2 linked regions of the Tamandua tetradactyla genome follow. The protein of the gene in region 1 interacts with the protein of each later gene in a pairwise test. Links are inferred from orthologs where the notes say so. Each region holds a gene or a part of one and is shown in the gene's direction. Other genes may lie near its edges.

What was found. The genes of interacting proteins can lie anywhere in the genome.
Region 2: the proteins of CIAO1 (region 1) and CIAO2B interact in binary tests that used the Homo sapiens proteins (3 or more experiments, as listed by UniProt). The two-hybrid records come from large-scale screens. The link is inferred for Tamandua tetradactyla from reciprocal best matches to the Homo sapiens genes CIAO1 and CIAO2B.

What each region holds. Positions count from the first base shown.
Region 1 is NC_135343.1:2,410,756-2,418,548, forward strand, and holds the start of CIAO1 (putative cytosolic iron-sulfur protein assembly protein CIAO1), read left to right. Parts: upstream 1-4,778; 5' UTR 4,779-4,928; coding exon 4,929-5,067; intron 5,068-5,602; coding exon 5,603-5,751; intron 5,752-5,847; coding exon 5,848-5,959; intron 5,960-6,065; coding exon 6,066-6,154; intron 6,155-6,392; coding exon 6,393-6,594; intron 6,595-7,353; coding exon 7,354-7,441; intron 7,442-7,793. Other genes in the region: TMEM127 (transmembrane protein 127), read right to left, coding at 3,949-4,192. UniProt on the Homo sapiens protein: Key component of the cytosolic iron-sulfur protein assembly (CIA) complex, a multiprotein complex that mediates the incorporation of iron-sulfur cluster into extramitochondrial Fe/S proteins.
Region 2 is NC_135342.1:60,623,837-60,630,808, reverse strand, and holds CIAO2B (cytosolic iron-sulfur assembly component 2B), read left to right. Parts: upstream 1-4,054; 5' UTR 4,055-4,133; coding exon 4,134-4,283; intron 4,284-4,439; coding exon 4,440-4,517; intron 4,518-4,785; coding exon 4,786-4,911; intron 4,912-5,753; coding exon 5,754-5,799; intron 5,800-5,964; coding exon of another isoform or gene 5,965-6,053; exon of another isoform or gene 6,054-6,164; intron 6,165-6,214; coding exon 6,215-6,312; 3' UTR 6,313-6,452; downstream 6,453-6,972.

The sequences.
Region 1 (7,793 bases):
AGAGCAACTTTCCAAAAACCTACAACCTCCAGATGGGTCCCTGGTCCAGATGAGTCCTGAAACCTAGCCCAGCCTCTCCAGAAAATCAGATAGTTTCATCTCCCTACCCCATATTAGCAACAGACCCTTCCATTATCCAAAATCTAGAATTGCCATAGCCCAAACAACCCCAATGAGAGGTATGGAAAGATCAAAGGTGATGGTGGAATCATACGTAGAAGACAGGACTTAACAAATTAATACGAATGCTGAATCATTAAATTGATATCTCTTTTAGCTGCCCGTATTTTAGAGTAGCTAGAAGTAGAAACCCAAAATTGTGGACTTGTAACCCATGTCAGAATCTGAAATATTTTCTACAACTAATTGTGGGACTGTGCTTTGAAATTTATAGCTTTTTTGTATATATGCTGTCTTTCACAAAAAAATAAGGAAAAAAAGTCGACTGTGATGATAAAAAAATACTCAAGCCTTTTAGGCTCCTATATTTTGGAGCAGCTAGAAAGAAACATCTGAGAGGATGGTAGCCCATGACAAACTCTGGGATCTGTCCTGTAACCACTCATGGAAGAGTGCTTTGAAAACTATTGCTTTTTTATTTCTTTGCTTTGTATATATGTTATACTATACAATAAAAAAAGTAAAAAAAAAAGGCAATGTGAGGATATATAACACATGGGCAGTAAACACCCGGGGAGTGGGACCAGAGGAAAACATAAGACCTGTGAGAACGGCTCAGAAGACCTGGGGCGGGTGGCCACTCAATCAAGATGGCAGAGTGGGACTCGGGGGTTCCATCCCCTCCAGAACTGCCACAAGAACTGCCAGAAACATTTTCCTCAAAGCTCCAGGAAACAGTGAAAGGACGGCAGCAACTGGGGGAGCACTGAGTCAAGAGGAAGGCCACCTCCAGGTGCCCTGCTGGCCCTTCCCCCGCCCCCTGCCAGCTGCCTGCGGGTCCCTGTGCCGGCCTGGCCTTGGAGGGGCACAGGAGCCTGCACGCGACGGGGGGCAGGATGTCTTGCTGTCCTAGGACCCGCCCTGTGAGGAGAAGGTGGCTCTCCCGGCTGTGGGACAGCAGGCAAGCAGTGCTGGCCGTAGCACAGAACACCAGCGCCAGGACCGGGAACCCATTTCCTAGGGAAGAGGAGACAGCAGGAGCCATGGAAGCGGGGTAACTCCCAGGACCACACGCGCACGCCCAAGACAAGCTGCAGCCACAGAGAGGCCGGGAAGGCCTGCGCTGGGCCTGCAGCTGCTCTCTCAACTCACTGCCCTGGAGTGAGAGCCCTGGAGGAGAGCACGCCACCCGCCAACCCGCACAGACTGGGAAGTTCGTTCCTTTACTCCTTTTTAATTTTTTTTTGTTAGCTCCTGACATTTGAGAAAAGTTCTGTTATAACACTAGCTAGATAGAAGTTTAAGGATCAGATGCCTCAGAGTCTAAATTCCAGCTATTATACATTAAAATATCAGTATGTCCACATTTCAACTAAAGTTTACAAAACATATAAAGAAACAGGAAGTGATGGCCCAACAAATGATAGGATTAAAGCATTAGAAACCATCAACGAGAAGGAACAGACCTAGAACATTCCAAAGACTTTTAAAAAATGATCTTAAATGTGCTCAAAGAACGAAAGGAAATCGGGAAAACATCAGATGATACCAGTAGAAAAATGGGAATTATGAAAAGAAATCAAGCAGGGCTGAAGACTACAGAAATGGAAATTTAGAACTCCCTATAGGGGTTCAAAAGCAGATTGGAGCTGGCAGAGAATCTGAAGATAAGAAGACTGAAATCATGCGGTCTGAGGAATAGAAAGAAGAAAAAATGAAGAAAAGTGAACAGCACCTCGGACGCCTACCGGACACCATCAAGCGAAACAATGTCACTTAGTAGGAGTCCCAGGAGGAAAAGAACAGAAAAGGACAGAGAACATACTCAAAGAAGTAAAGGCTGAAAATTTCTCAAATTTAACTAAAAACAAAAGTATACAAATCCAGGACGCTCAACAAACCCCAAATGGGATAAACCCAAATAGACCCACATCTTGCCCCATTATACTCAAACTGTCAAATGCCAAAGATAAAAGGAGAGAATTCTGGAAGCCAAAGAGAGCAGCAACGTGAGGACCTCGATAAGGATAAGCGCCAACTTCTCACAGGAAACCATGAAGGCAAGATGGCAGTGGGGTGACACATTTAAAGCGCCAAAATCAGAAACTATCAGCCAAGAATTTTATATCTGGCAAAAATATCTTTCAAAAATGAAGGAGTGATTAAGACATTCCCAGATAAAAGCTGCGGGAGTTCATCACCACTAGACCTACCCTACAAGAGATGCTAAAGGGAGTTCTGTAGGTATAAAGGAAAGGAAAATACATAATAGGTCAAAGCCACATGAGGAAACAAAGGTTTCCTGTGAGAGTAACAACATGGGTAAACATAAATGCCAGGACTCTTACATTTTTGGTTTGTAACTCTACTTTTTACTTACTACAGGATCTAAAAGGCAAATGCATAAAATGTCATAATAAACCAGTTTGAGACTCACAATGCATGAACATATCAACTGTTAACTATGTGAAGGCAGGGGACAGAAGGGTCCAGGGGCATAGACCGTGTGTATATTAATGAAGTTAAGTTGGTATCAAAGCAAATGGCTGTTACAGATTTAGGATGTTAAATTTAAACCCCATGGTAACTGCAAATAAAATATTACAGAACATGCACGCTCACAGAGACAGAACTTAGAGAACAGGTTGCCAGAGGCAGGGCAAAGGAGGAATGGGGAGCTAAGGTTTCTGTTTGAGGAGATGGGGAAGCTTAAGGATGGAAGTTGTGAGAGTACCGCCACATTGTAACTATCGGTAACCTTATGGAATGGCATCTTGGGAATGGGTGACATGGGGAAGTACATGCTGTTTTTATGAAGGAAAAAAAAGCAAGGCAACTAAAAAGACCACGACAATTAAAGGCAATACATGATCCTGATGATATGGAACAAGGAAGAAGATGATAAGGCTCAAGAAGACATTATGGGAGCATATGAAAAAAATAGGAATACAGACTGCAAACTTCACACAAATGCTAAATTTCTTGAGTCTGACAGCTGCACTTAAGGTGGAAGTCCTCATTCGTGAAAAACGTACAGGGTGGAACTAAAGGTTCAAGGAGCATGATACGTACAACACACACCCAAGTGTTCAGAAGACAGATGGATAGACAAATGGACAGACAGATGGACAGGCAGATAGAATGAGACAGCAATGTTAAAGCTGGAGGATGTGTGCAGCTGCAGCGGGGTCAAGAAGAGGTTTGCTAGAGTTCTCTTTATCATGTTTCTATTATTTTTCTAAGTGTCCTATAAGTCTAAAAGACACATTTCTAAATAAAAAGTTAAAAAAAGAGTGGGAGGGGAAAAAAAGACCTTGGAGGTGATGAAAACATGCTGTCACTAAGGGCTTTTCTGGGTGGTCAGGTGGCCGCCTGCCCTATGCTCCGTCCTCACTCTCAGGCTGGGCTCCAGCCAGCCTCCCGCAGGCCTGACCTCCCCATGTCCGGCAAAGAGAACCCCCTTTTCCTTCCACTTGCCCCCCCCCCCCCCCGGCACTAAACAAAGCAATCTCCCCCGACACACGGGCCACGGCTCTCTCAGCCGCACGCCCATTGCTCTACTGAGGACGGCACCGGGCGACTGCCGGTTCCCACAAAACACCACAGGCTCCCCTTTTCTCTAAGAACCCAATTTTCCCGAGAACTCTAAGATCTTCCCATTCAAAGCTCCTTTCTCTTCATCAGCCCGGCTGGCTCAAAGCGGCCTCCCCGACCCCGCAGCGTCCTTGGACGGGGGTCCTGGCGCCTTAGCTTTGTGCACAGCGGGGCCCTTCCTCCGCAGCTCCCCAGCTCCGGCCCGAGGCGCGGGGCAGGGGGCGGCGCCCTCACCTTTCAGCAGGTCCGGGTGCACGTAGCCCAGCACGTCGGAGACCCCCAGCTCCTGGCGCGAACAGGTGCCGCCGTGGATGTGCAGCCAGGCGGGCTCGGCCAGCGCCGTGCACAGCGCCGTGATGGACAGCGCGCCCGGCAGGGCCGACGCCAGGCTCCGCTCCGGCTGCTTGGGCAGCGCGCTGCCTCCCGGGCTCCGCCGCCGGCGCCCGCCGGGCAGCCCCGCGCCTCCGGGGGCGTACATGCCCGGGGCCGCGGCCTCTGAGGGGCGCAGGGCCTGCCTGGGCGGGGAGCCCGCGCGGGGCGGCAGGGGCGGGGCCGGGGACCCCGGAATGGGGCTGCGGGGCTGGGGGGAAGAGGCCGGCGCAGACCGCAGTGGGTGCAGGGGCACGGGGCGCCGGAGGCCGGCCGCTGCGGAGGACCCGGAGTCTGCGCCGAGGTGCCGAGCCGGGAGGCCCGGGATGGGCCGCGGGGGCCGGGCACCGGGCGTCGGGGACGGCGCCCTGGGGTGCGACCCTCTCCACTCCGCGCCGCGCTCCTCGCCGCTCCGCAGGCCTCGGGGCCAGAATGGCGCCGCCGCTCCGTCACGGCCCCTCCGCTGCTCTGGCTGAGCTTAGCCCAGGCCCGACCCCGCAACGCCCGGCCCGACCCGGCCGGATCCACTTCCGGCTTCCGCCCCCTCCGCCCCGCCCCCGGCGCCCCGCCCCGGCCCCCGCGCGCGTCACAGCGCGGGCGCGCCGTCGGCCCCTGCGCACAGCCTCACGGGACGGGTAGTTCCGAGCCGGCCCGCGGCGCTCCCCGCAGCGGGAGCTGGAGACTACAATTCCCAGAGGGCAGCGCGGCCGGGGTCCCGGGCCGTTCAGTTCCCAGGATCCCCCGCCCAAGGCGGAAGCGGGCAGGTCCGACGGCCGCTGGTGTGGGGGCCTGTGGTTGTTTCGGGTCTGTGGCTGCCCACCTGCTCCTCCCCTGCGCCGGCTGCCATGAAGAACTCGCTGGTGCTGCTGAGCCGTGTCCCGGCCCACCCAGACTCCCGCTGCTGGTTCCTGGCTTGGAACCCCGCAGGGACCCTGCTGGCTTCGTGCGGGGGCGACCGTCGAGTCCGCATCTGGGGCATTGAGGGTAAAGCTCCCAACTGCGCGACCCCCGGCGCAGGGGTCTCCGCGTGCGCGTAGAGTAGATGTCGGGTGTGTGGGGGCCGCAGCCTGCCGCAGGGGTAGACCCTGGACCGGGGCACAGGGACGAAGAGGCGGAGGGACCTTCATGTGTCGCGTTCGCCACCGGGAGAAGGACTTTTTGGGAAAAGGAGCCGGCAAACAAGAAAGCAAAAAACAGCTGGAGGAGGGAAACAAGGAGAGAGAAGTAGTAGGAAAGCTGTCGGCAGGATAATTTGGGGCCCGATGGTAAAGTTTAAATTTTATCCCGAGGGCGTTTAGGAGCCTTTGACAATTTCATATTCGGAGGGTGACTCAGATTTTAGAAAGATGCCTCCAGGGGAAATAGAGGCACTTAACATCTTTCTAAAGTGTACTGTCACATACATAGATGGAGGTTGGACACTGGTAGGGCCTGAGCCCTTATCACCATACGGAGAGGGTAGAGCCTGCCACCTTCCTGTGCGCCCAGCTCCAGGGCCTGCCTTGTTCTCTGTCCATAGGGGGCACCTGGGTCTGTAAGTCTGTTCTTTCCGAGGGCCACCAGCGCACGGTCCGGAAGGTGGCCTGGTCTCCGTGTGGGAATTACCTGGCCTCTGCCAGCTTTGACGCCACCACTTGTATTTGGAAGAAAAACCAAGATGACTTTGAGGTAAACAGGCTGAATGGAACCAGAATTATTGCTTGTTTGCTCTACAGGTTCTGGGACCTGGGCCACCTGATTCTCATGCCTTTTTCCTTTCCGCAGTGTGTAACCACTCTGGAGGGTCACGAAAATGAGGTCAAATCAGTGGCCTGGGCCCCATCAGGCAACCTCCTGGCCACCTGCAGCCGAGATAAGAGTGTTTGGGTCTGGGAAGGTGAGTCTGGTCCCTCTTAGGGCAGTTGGGAACCAGCCAGCAGACGTTCCCCTCTGTGTCCCTGATGGGGTCAGCTCTTGAGGTGTTTTTTTTTTCCTTCCTGCAGTTGATGAGGAGGACGAGTACGAGTGTGTCAGTGTCCTCAATTCCCATACTCAGGACGTCAAGCACGTGGCTTGGCACCCACACCAGGAGGTAGGAATCAGGCAGGGTGCCTGGTGGGAATTCTGGTATGGAAAGTTGTCAGCATTCTGTTTTTAAACCCTGAACTGTAACTCATAATTGTTAGTCTTTTTATAAAGTCAGGTCCCTGGGGCTGTCCTGCCTTGGCAGGGAGAAGTATTGGAACTGCAGCCACTTCCCGGGTCGTACAGACAAGCATTGTACTTCCTGGGTCATCAGATAAGGGCTGTCTTCTCTTCTCCACCCCCAGCTTCTGGCCTCTGCCAGCTATGATGACACAGTGAAGCTCTACCGGGAGGAGGAAGATGACTGGGTGTGCTGTGCCACCCTCGAGGGCCACGAATCCACCGTGTGGAGCTTGGCCTTTGACCCTAGTGGCCAGCGCCTGGCATCTTGCAGTGATGACCGCACTGTGCGCATCTGGCGCCAGTACCCGCCAGGCAGCGAGCAAGGTGAGGGTCCAGTAGGAGAACGAGAGGAGACTCGTCTCCAGGGAGGTCTGATCTGTGGATGGGTTAAGATACAAGCGTGACATAGCATGGACTGGGGTAGGAAGTGACAGGTGCCACGGGGAATCCTCCAGATGAGCTGTTGGGAGAACCAGAGAGAGCTTTGTGGAGGAGGGACCATTGCACCCAAACTTGAAAGCATGCATACATAGGATTTTCATTAAAATTTTTTTTTTTTTTGGCTTGAGCTGACTCCGGGAACCGAACCCCAGTCTCCAGCGAGGCAGTCAAGAATTCTGCCACTGAGCCACCGTTGCACTGCCCCGTGTGCAAGGATTTTAACATGAGGAGAAGCAGTGAAGGGAATTCTAGGGCAAGCGGGACATCATGAGCAGGGGCACTGTTGGTGGGAAATCCTAGACTAAGACTGCGACGGAGATTCGCTTGCATGGAGTACAGGGGATGAGGGGCTTGGGGAGGAGTGAGGGGGTGGGGGCTGCAGGCTAACGCATCAAGATTAGTCCGCAGCTGGAAGTTTCTTTTTGACATTCTGCATTAGAAAGAGCAGCCTGGCCACAGTGCGTGAGGCAGACCTGTGAGCGTGGGACAGGAGTGGAGGCAGGGACTTGCATCTCTTCTGTTGCGGTGAGGGTGGGAGAGTAAGCGTCCCCTCTGCAGTGGGGCAGTCACCACCGACCCCCCCCCCCCAAAGGCGCCTGGGGCACAGGTGCACCTGAGGCTGAAGGGAGGTCTGTTGTGCAGGGGCGGCATGCGGCGGCTCCGACCCCAGCTGGAAATGTGTGTGCACTTTGTCCGGCTACCATTCCAGGACCATTTATGATGTCGCTTGGTAAGGCCTACATCTTCCCCTCCTGGGTGGGGTCTTTTGGGGAGTGAGGACTGTGGCAGCCCCCTGTTATCTTCAGATCAGGCCCGACTCCGCCATACTGGCTCCTCACTGGCTGGCCTGGGGTTCGCAGGAGCAGGAAACCGACTTGAGGGCCAGGTGCACACTGTGCTGGGATCCCAGGCTGCAGGTCAGCACCAACCCTTGGGGCTCACACAGTGTCCCCCCAGCCAGAAACAATAGTGAGTCTGTGGCTTCGGGGCTGGTTCCACATGTTTGTCAGCATCGACTGTGCCCTGAGCATGGCTAGAATGCTGTATTGTTAGGCAGGAGAGTGGTCGAGGGCAGTGCTGTC
Region 2 (6,972 bases), on another chromosome or scaffold:
CTACCCCTTCCCTCTGAGCCTCAGCACGCTCAGTGGAAAACTGGTTGCAAGGGTTTAGATGAGATGACAACTGCAGCTCTGCCCAGAGCTAAGACTTCCTCCCACCTGGGGTCTCTCTCCTGGTCCCCTAGGGGAGAGCTTACATGGCTGGGTGGGAGGTCCCATCCCTGACACCACTCCAAGGTTCGGGTGTCTGGGGAGGTGCAAATCGCAGTGGCCCCAGAGGCGGCTTGGCAAAGGGAATTCCCAGGAAGCTGTGGACCCCGACATCGGTGCCCTTTACGTGGATAAGGCTTCCCCGCACCTGCCCTGTGTGTGTGGTCCGGATGGGGCCAGCAGACTCCTGGCCTGTGGACAGAGAGATGGACATCAGGGTTGGGTCTGCCCAAGCAGTGGTCCTCCCAGACTCTGAGGACTCCTTCCCAACCACAACTCAGTTTAAGGGCACCTTGTCTGCAAGCACCTGTTTTGTTTGCAAGCATCCAACATGTAACCCTGCCCCCAGCTCCAATCCCCCCCCCCCCACTGCTCTGGGCCTGGTCCAGCTTTTCCTGTCAGGGTCAGCAGGACTCCTTGGGACTTGCCACCACAGTGAGGACCCAGAAGCTTCAAACATATGGTCACAAGTGTTTGATGGATGAAGAGCGTCCTTTTAAGGAATTGTGAGCCAGGGCATGCTAGGCAACAGGAAAGCTGTGGAACTTGGACAGACATGGTTCCTGCTTCAGGTGGCAAGAAGTAACATAAAGAAAGCATCCTACAAACAAGGAGCGACGTTGGTTAGGAGAGCTGTAAGAGAAGTGCATCTGTGACTGGAGTGTAAAAAGCAGCAACCCGTCCTGCTGTGGGGATCAGGGGCAGGAAATGATTGAAAGCCGCCTAACAGAGAAAGATTCAATATTATAAATAAATAAAGAGTTTCTATAAATAAGAAACACATCAACAAATTTGCAAATTCATTGCAAATTTGGATCCTGATTAAAACAACAACAAAACTGTAAATATCATTTATGAGATAATATGGGAAATAAGTGACTAGATAGTTGATTATATTAAGAAATTATGGTGTTGTGGATATGTACATATATATTCTTTTTCTTTAAGTAATATATGAAAAATGTACAGAGGATATGACTTCTGAGATTTTCTTGAAATAATGGTGCTGGGGAGATGTAGCAATACAGATAAAACAAGGTTGTCCAGGTCATAATTGCTGAAAGTGAATGATGAGTACATGGCTTTGTTAATCTATTCTCTTCACCTCTGAGCATGTTTCCATATTAAAAAGTAAAAACCAAAATCAGCCTGAAGGAGGTATTACCTGTTACCTATCAGATCAGCATGAATTAGCATTGGCATGTATCACGTGATAGAATGATTCCAGGGTCAATGGCCACTCACAGGCTCCAAGGAGGGTAAATGAGTCATGGTGTTCCAAATCAAAAGGCCCACCCCTCTCTCCAGCAACATGCTGTCTACGCACAACTCCTTGCTGAATGGAATGGGCTGTTTGTCCATGTAATTCACTGCAGCTACCACCCAATGATGCCCGGTGTTTGTTATAGCAAAGGACAAAACCTGCTGAAATGGCCTGATTAGAGGTCAGTTATAGCAACCACTGCTTCTTCCCTGAGAGAAGTTCTTTTATTAAACTGTATGAGGAAGCGCTACCGCACCCAGGAAGTCTCTGCCCAGTGTCAGGAAGTGTAGAAGGCCAGGGCCCAGAAAAGGTGTGAGATTACAGTTTAGGAGAAAACCAGGGTGTGTGCACACATCCATTCTTGGGTAAACTCCTGGGCTGAATGTGGAAGGCCCTGGGGGCCTTCCTTAATGGTTCCCATGGAGAAGCCAGGACTGGGTGGGACAGGAGAGGGTCAGACTCACCACCTTGAGTCCTCTTATACCTTGTCAATTATTCTCTTCAACATAGGTACAATCCAAAATAATAAAAGGGAAGTGGCAGCGAGGCCAGGTAGATCTCGTAGAGGTCCAGTTACCTCCAAGAGCCTGGACGGGGCGGGGTGGAGTGGGGTGGGGTGTGGGGTGTGTGTTAAATGGGAGGGGTAAGTATGGGCCATTCACTGGCAAATTCCTCTGAGAAAGGGCAGGACTGTAGGGCTGCATAGGTAGGGGGCATTTTGGGTGAGAGGATCGTGCTTAATGAGAAAGGACCAGGAAACTTTGGATGACCTAGGGTGGTTTTCAAATAGCTCCTGATAAAAACAGAAGGCAGGCACAAAGGGCAATCTCCTTTGCCCTAGCGACCCAGCCATGCCTTTTCCCCATGCAGGGTGCAGTGGGGTGAGGAAGACACAGTGGCTTCCTCCATGGGCTTTAGGAGAAGCTAAGGAGCTTCTCTGCGCCAGATTCCCAGATGCTGAATTAAGGTCAGTAATCTTGGCTGGGACCCCTGCGGTGGGGGACTCAGTGGCTTCCTCTGGCCAAGTGCACAGCACACTCAGGGTAGACAAATGAGGAAAGGTATTCTAATTATTACTGTTATTACCTGCAGACAGCGCCCGCTCCAGCCACAAACACAAGGAGAGAAAGAAGTTCCTACAGCCCCAGGCTGCTAACCCAACCCAGCCCGCCTCGGAGCTCCGTAGAGCCCCTGGGACTGGACGAGTCCCTCATACTGTGTGGCCTCGGGCAGCCCCGACCCTCTCTGTATCTTACGAGGCCCACCCGGGGCGGTCGGGAGGGGTCCTGCCCAGCGCACGGCTCCCGCGCTGTCCTTATCTTCATCAGCTCCGACCTCCCTGGCATAGTCCCGCCCTCAGCCTCAGGTTCTGCCACTGCAGTTTGGAGGATCCGACTCGGCCTCCGCAGCCCCCCGCGGGAACCTCACCCCCGGCCGAGACGAGAAGGTGAAGCAGGAACCCATAGGCCACGGCCCTCAGCCGCTCGCTCAGCGGGTCCAGCCGCATCGTCCGCTCGTAGGTTCTCCTTTTCGCTACCGGCGGGATCGCTGCTTTTCACCTACTGGCTGCGCCCCCGCGCGCTCCGCCGCGGGTAGGTGCCTCGCCCCAGAGGGGAATTTGGACTGGGCCGGGCGGAGGCGGGGCGCGGGGGTCGGGCCAGGGAAAGGTCGGTCGGACCTGGAAGCTCGGGGCAGGCGGGTGCCGGTCCCCCGTGGGCTTCTCGGATCAATAAAATGTGGCATATCCACACACTGGGAGCACCTCCGCAATACCAGGGACCCTTTCCTCAGAGCTGGAGTCACTGCGTTCACTGTCCTCGCAGCCACAGGCCCGACGAGGACGTTGGAGGTGGAGGGGAGTTGAGAGGAGGTAGCGACAAGCTGTTTGGGGGAACCCAGGAGGGCTTTCCTGAGGAGGTGCTCGATCAGAATACAGATAAAGAAATAAGAACGGTCTTCGTTCGGGGCGAAGGAAACGGCTTGAGCATAGGCAGGGGTGTGACTATGCCCTTCATCTGGAAGCTCGAGAGGCTTCCAGATGAAGCTTCCTTGGCCTCCCCGCCCCCCCACCCCCTTCACGTTCCTTTATCCCCTTAGTGCCTCTGGTCTGAGGGTCTCCAGAGGCTCCTCTGTACTCAGTCATGCCCTCCTTTCGAAACGCACACGATTTCGTGCGCTCCTCCCCCACCTCCCGCGAGATCGAGTTCACGGTCATTTATTCATTTCACAAACGTTTATCGAGCGCCGGCTGATCCGCGGGCTGCGGGAGAAGCGAGCGCATCCCTGGAAGATCCCGAAACACCTTGAACCTTCCTCAGTCCTGGGTATCCGAGCACCCGCCCACCCTCAGGGGCAGGGAAGAATTCAGGGAGCAGGTGCTGCCTGCGGATGCGCCAGGCTTAACCTCAGACCGGCCTTTAACGGCCCCTGAGAACCCGCCTTGGCCTCGGCGTTCCAGTCCCTAACCGGCTCGCGCGGCCCGGCGTAGCTGGGTTCTCTTCTCCGCGCCTCTTCTTGAGCGGTCCACACCTTCTTGGGGTTCGCGAAACCACAACGCCGAGTCCACTACCCATCCCAGACCCCGGGCCGCACACCCGTAGCGCGGCTGTCCCTCGTGCGACCCCGTCGCCTCGCCACGCCCCTTTTCCGTTCTCCGGAAGTGCGCCTGTCGAGGCGGAAGTGCACGCAGATAGTGGCCCACGGCGGTTCGGCTATGGTGGGCGGCGGCGGTGGCGGCGTAGGGGGCGGCCTCCTAGAGAACGCTAACCCCCTCATCTATGAGCGCTCTGGGGAGCGGCCTGTGACTGCGGGCGAGGAGGATGAGCAGGTTCCCGACAGCATAGACGCGCGCGAGATCTTCGATATCCGCTGCTGCTGGGCGGGGACGGGTTCGCGGGGGGCTTGGGAGACGGGGAGAGATGATGTCGTACGACTGGAGGAGCAGTAGCAGGACAGGGCATTTCTGACGAAGGGCTCTGAGTGGGCAAAGGCAGAATCCCTTTTCCTTCACTTGCCACATCTGATTCGCTCCATCAATGACCCAGAGCATCCACTGACGCTGGAGGAATTGAACGTTGTAGAGCAAGTTCGGGTTCAGGTGAGTTACTCCAGCGTCTTAGGGGAGCAGCTTGATCCGGGAGATTCAGAAAGGTTTAGCTGTACACCAGGGACTGACATTCGGGTGTTTTTTTAACTCATGGATTTATCGGGGCATCTTTAGGAACAGGGATTGTTGTGCCCGTTTTGTAGATGAAGGAACTGAGGTCTATAGAGATTGGACAAAGGGCCCAATCAAGAAACTAAGAAGAGGGTCCTGGGCTGGGAGGGCTGTGACTTTTGACATCACTTCCCTACCCCCTTCTCAGGTGAGCGACCCGGAGAGCACTGTGGCCGTCGCCTTCACACCCACCATTCCACACTGCAGCATGGCCACCCTTATTGGTCTGTCCATCAAAGTTAAGCTTCTGCGCTCTCTTCCCCAGCGTTTCAAGGTCAGTTGGAATTGAGCCTCCCACAGGGCAAGCATGAGGATATACTATTGACAAGGGTGACGTGGAGAGCGTGAACAGAGAGAGGACATCAGAATGGGAGCTAGAAGAATCCTAACTGGCAGAGATGAAATTGGGAGTTGGGTTTCCAAGTGAAGGGGACAACAAGAATAAAGGCCTGGTATGGTAGCCCATGACAAACTCTGGGATCTGTCCTGTAACTACTTGTTGAAGAGTGCTTAGAAAAAATATTGCTTTGTTATTTCTTTGCTTTGTATATATGTTATGCTATACAATAAAGAAAGTTAAAAAAAATAGAAACTAAGTTAAGAGAAGTAAATTCATCTGCTCAAGCTTGTAAAATTAGTCAACAGCAGGACCAGGTTCTGATCCCATGTCTTTTTGGTTGCCATTTATCATGTTTCTGCTACATTAGGCTGCCTCCATGTGACCATGCTTAATATTTTCTTCTGTGCCCCAAAGCACCACACTGTAGATATTCAATAAATAGTTACAGAGGTTCATTATTGTAAAATAATAATAATAATAATAAAGGCCTGAGCTGGCAAGTGCAAAAAAGAAGTAAGGAGTATGGCAGGAAGGGCAGTAGGGAACTGTAGATGGGTTTGGAACAGGGGCGAGGCTCAGGCAGGTCTTTAAGTCAACAGTAGTTGATCAGTTCTTTGGGTAGAAGTAGAAGCACTCTGGGTGTATTGGGGGTGTGGTAGAAAGGCCAGAAGCATGATTAGGAAGAAGGAAAAGCTGGAGGTGGTGACTGAAGGGGTAACAGGCAAGGAGGTGGGCAGGTTGGGGGGAGGCTCAGGCCCTGCTTATCTTTCCCTCAGATGGACGTGCACATTACTCCAGGAACCCATGCCTCAGAGCATGCAGGTGAGTGAGGGCATTGGCCTGGGACCCTAAGCTTTCTGAGGCTTCCTTCTTGCCATAGTGGTTTATAGGGCAAGATCCAGGGGAGCCTGGGTGGGTGAAATTGCCAGACACTCTTCAGGGAAGCTGGCCTGACTGTGCTTACCTCGTCCCTCTTCTACTCTCCAGTAATAGTACACGAGCCCATGCTTCAGGAATGCAGGAGGCAGAATGAGCAATCAGGTGGGAAGGGTTCCAAGAAAGTGGGATTGTTGTAGGTTCAGGTGGTTGAAATAGCCTAATCGAGGCTGAGGGTCCTGGCAAAGAGGCAACAGGAGGACTTTACTGGTTGGGCGTAGCTCATACAAAGGCTCAGAGGTGGGACTTGACTAGCAGCATGGCCAGAACCTCACTTTGACTCTCTCTCCTTCCCATCCAGTGAACAAGCAGCTTGCCGATAAGGAGCGAGTAGCAGCTGCCCTGGAGAACACCCACCTACTGGAGGTTGTGAACCAGTGCCTGTCAGCCCGTTCCTGAACTTGGCTTTTGGCTCCCAGCCCACATACCTCTGTCTGGGCCACAGCTCTACCCAGGGCTCATGGCCTTGTTTTCTGGAATCACTGACAATGGGAAACTTAACATTTTGCATTTTGTAATAAACTCTTAATTTATATTCATTTCCAAGCATGCCTTAGAGTCTTTCATCAAATGGGGTCACTCAGGGCTTGGGAGGGGTATGAGCCTATCCAGAATTCAGTGATGAACAGTTTATTGATATTTTAAATTTCTCCCATTGTTTGGACTAGGAAAAGTTGCAAGTGTACAAAACATCGAAAGGATAGTGAATAGTAGTGATCAGACCTGTATACCCATCACCTATATTCAATGGTTGTTAATATGTTGCAACATTTGCTTTTTTAATGTGTGTATATAAGTAGAATTTGAGAGAGAGCTGTAAAGACATGACCCTTTCCTTCTACGTACTCTGTCCTGCACTCCTATGAGAAAGCCTTTACAACCACAGTACTGTCACCTGGCCAAAATTATGAACAATTCCCCAATACCATCTAATATGTAGTCCAGATACAAATTTCCCTAAAATTTCATACATGGATTTTTTTTTTATCAGACTCCAATAGAAATTCTCATATGACCGTGTTTGGTTGTTAGGCTCTTTAGCCTCTTCAAGAACTGTCT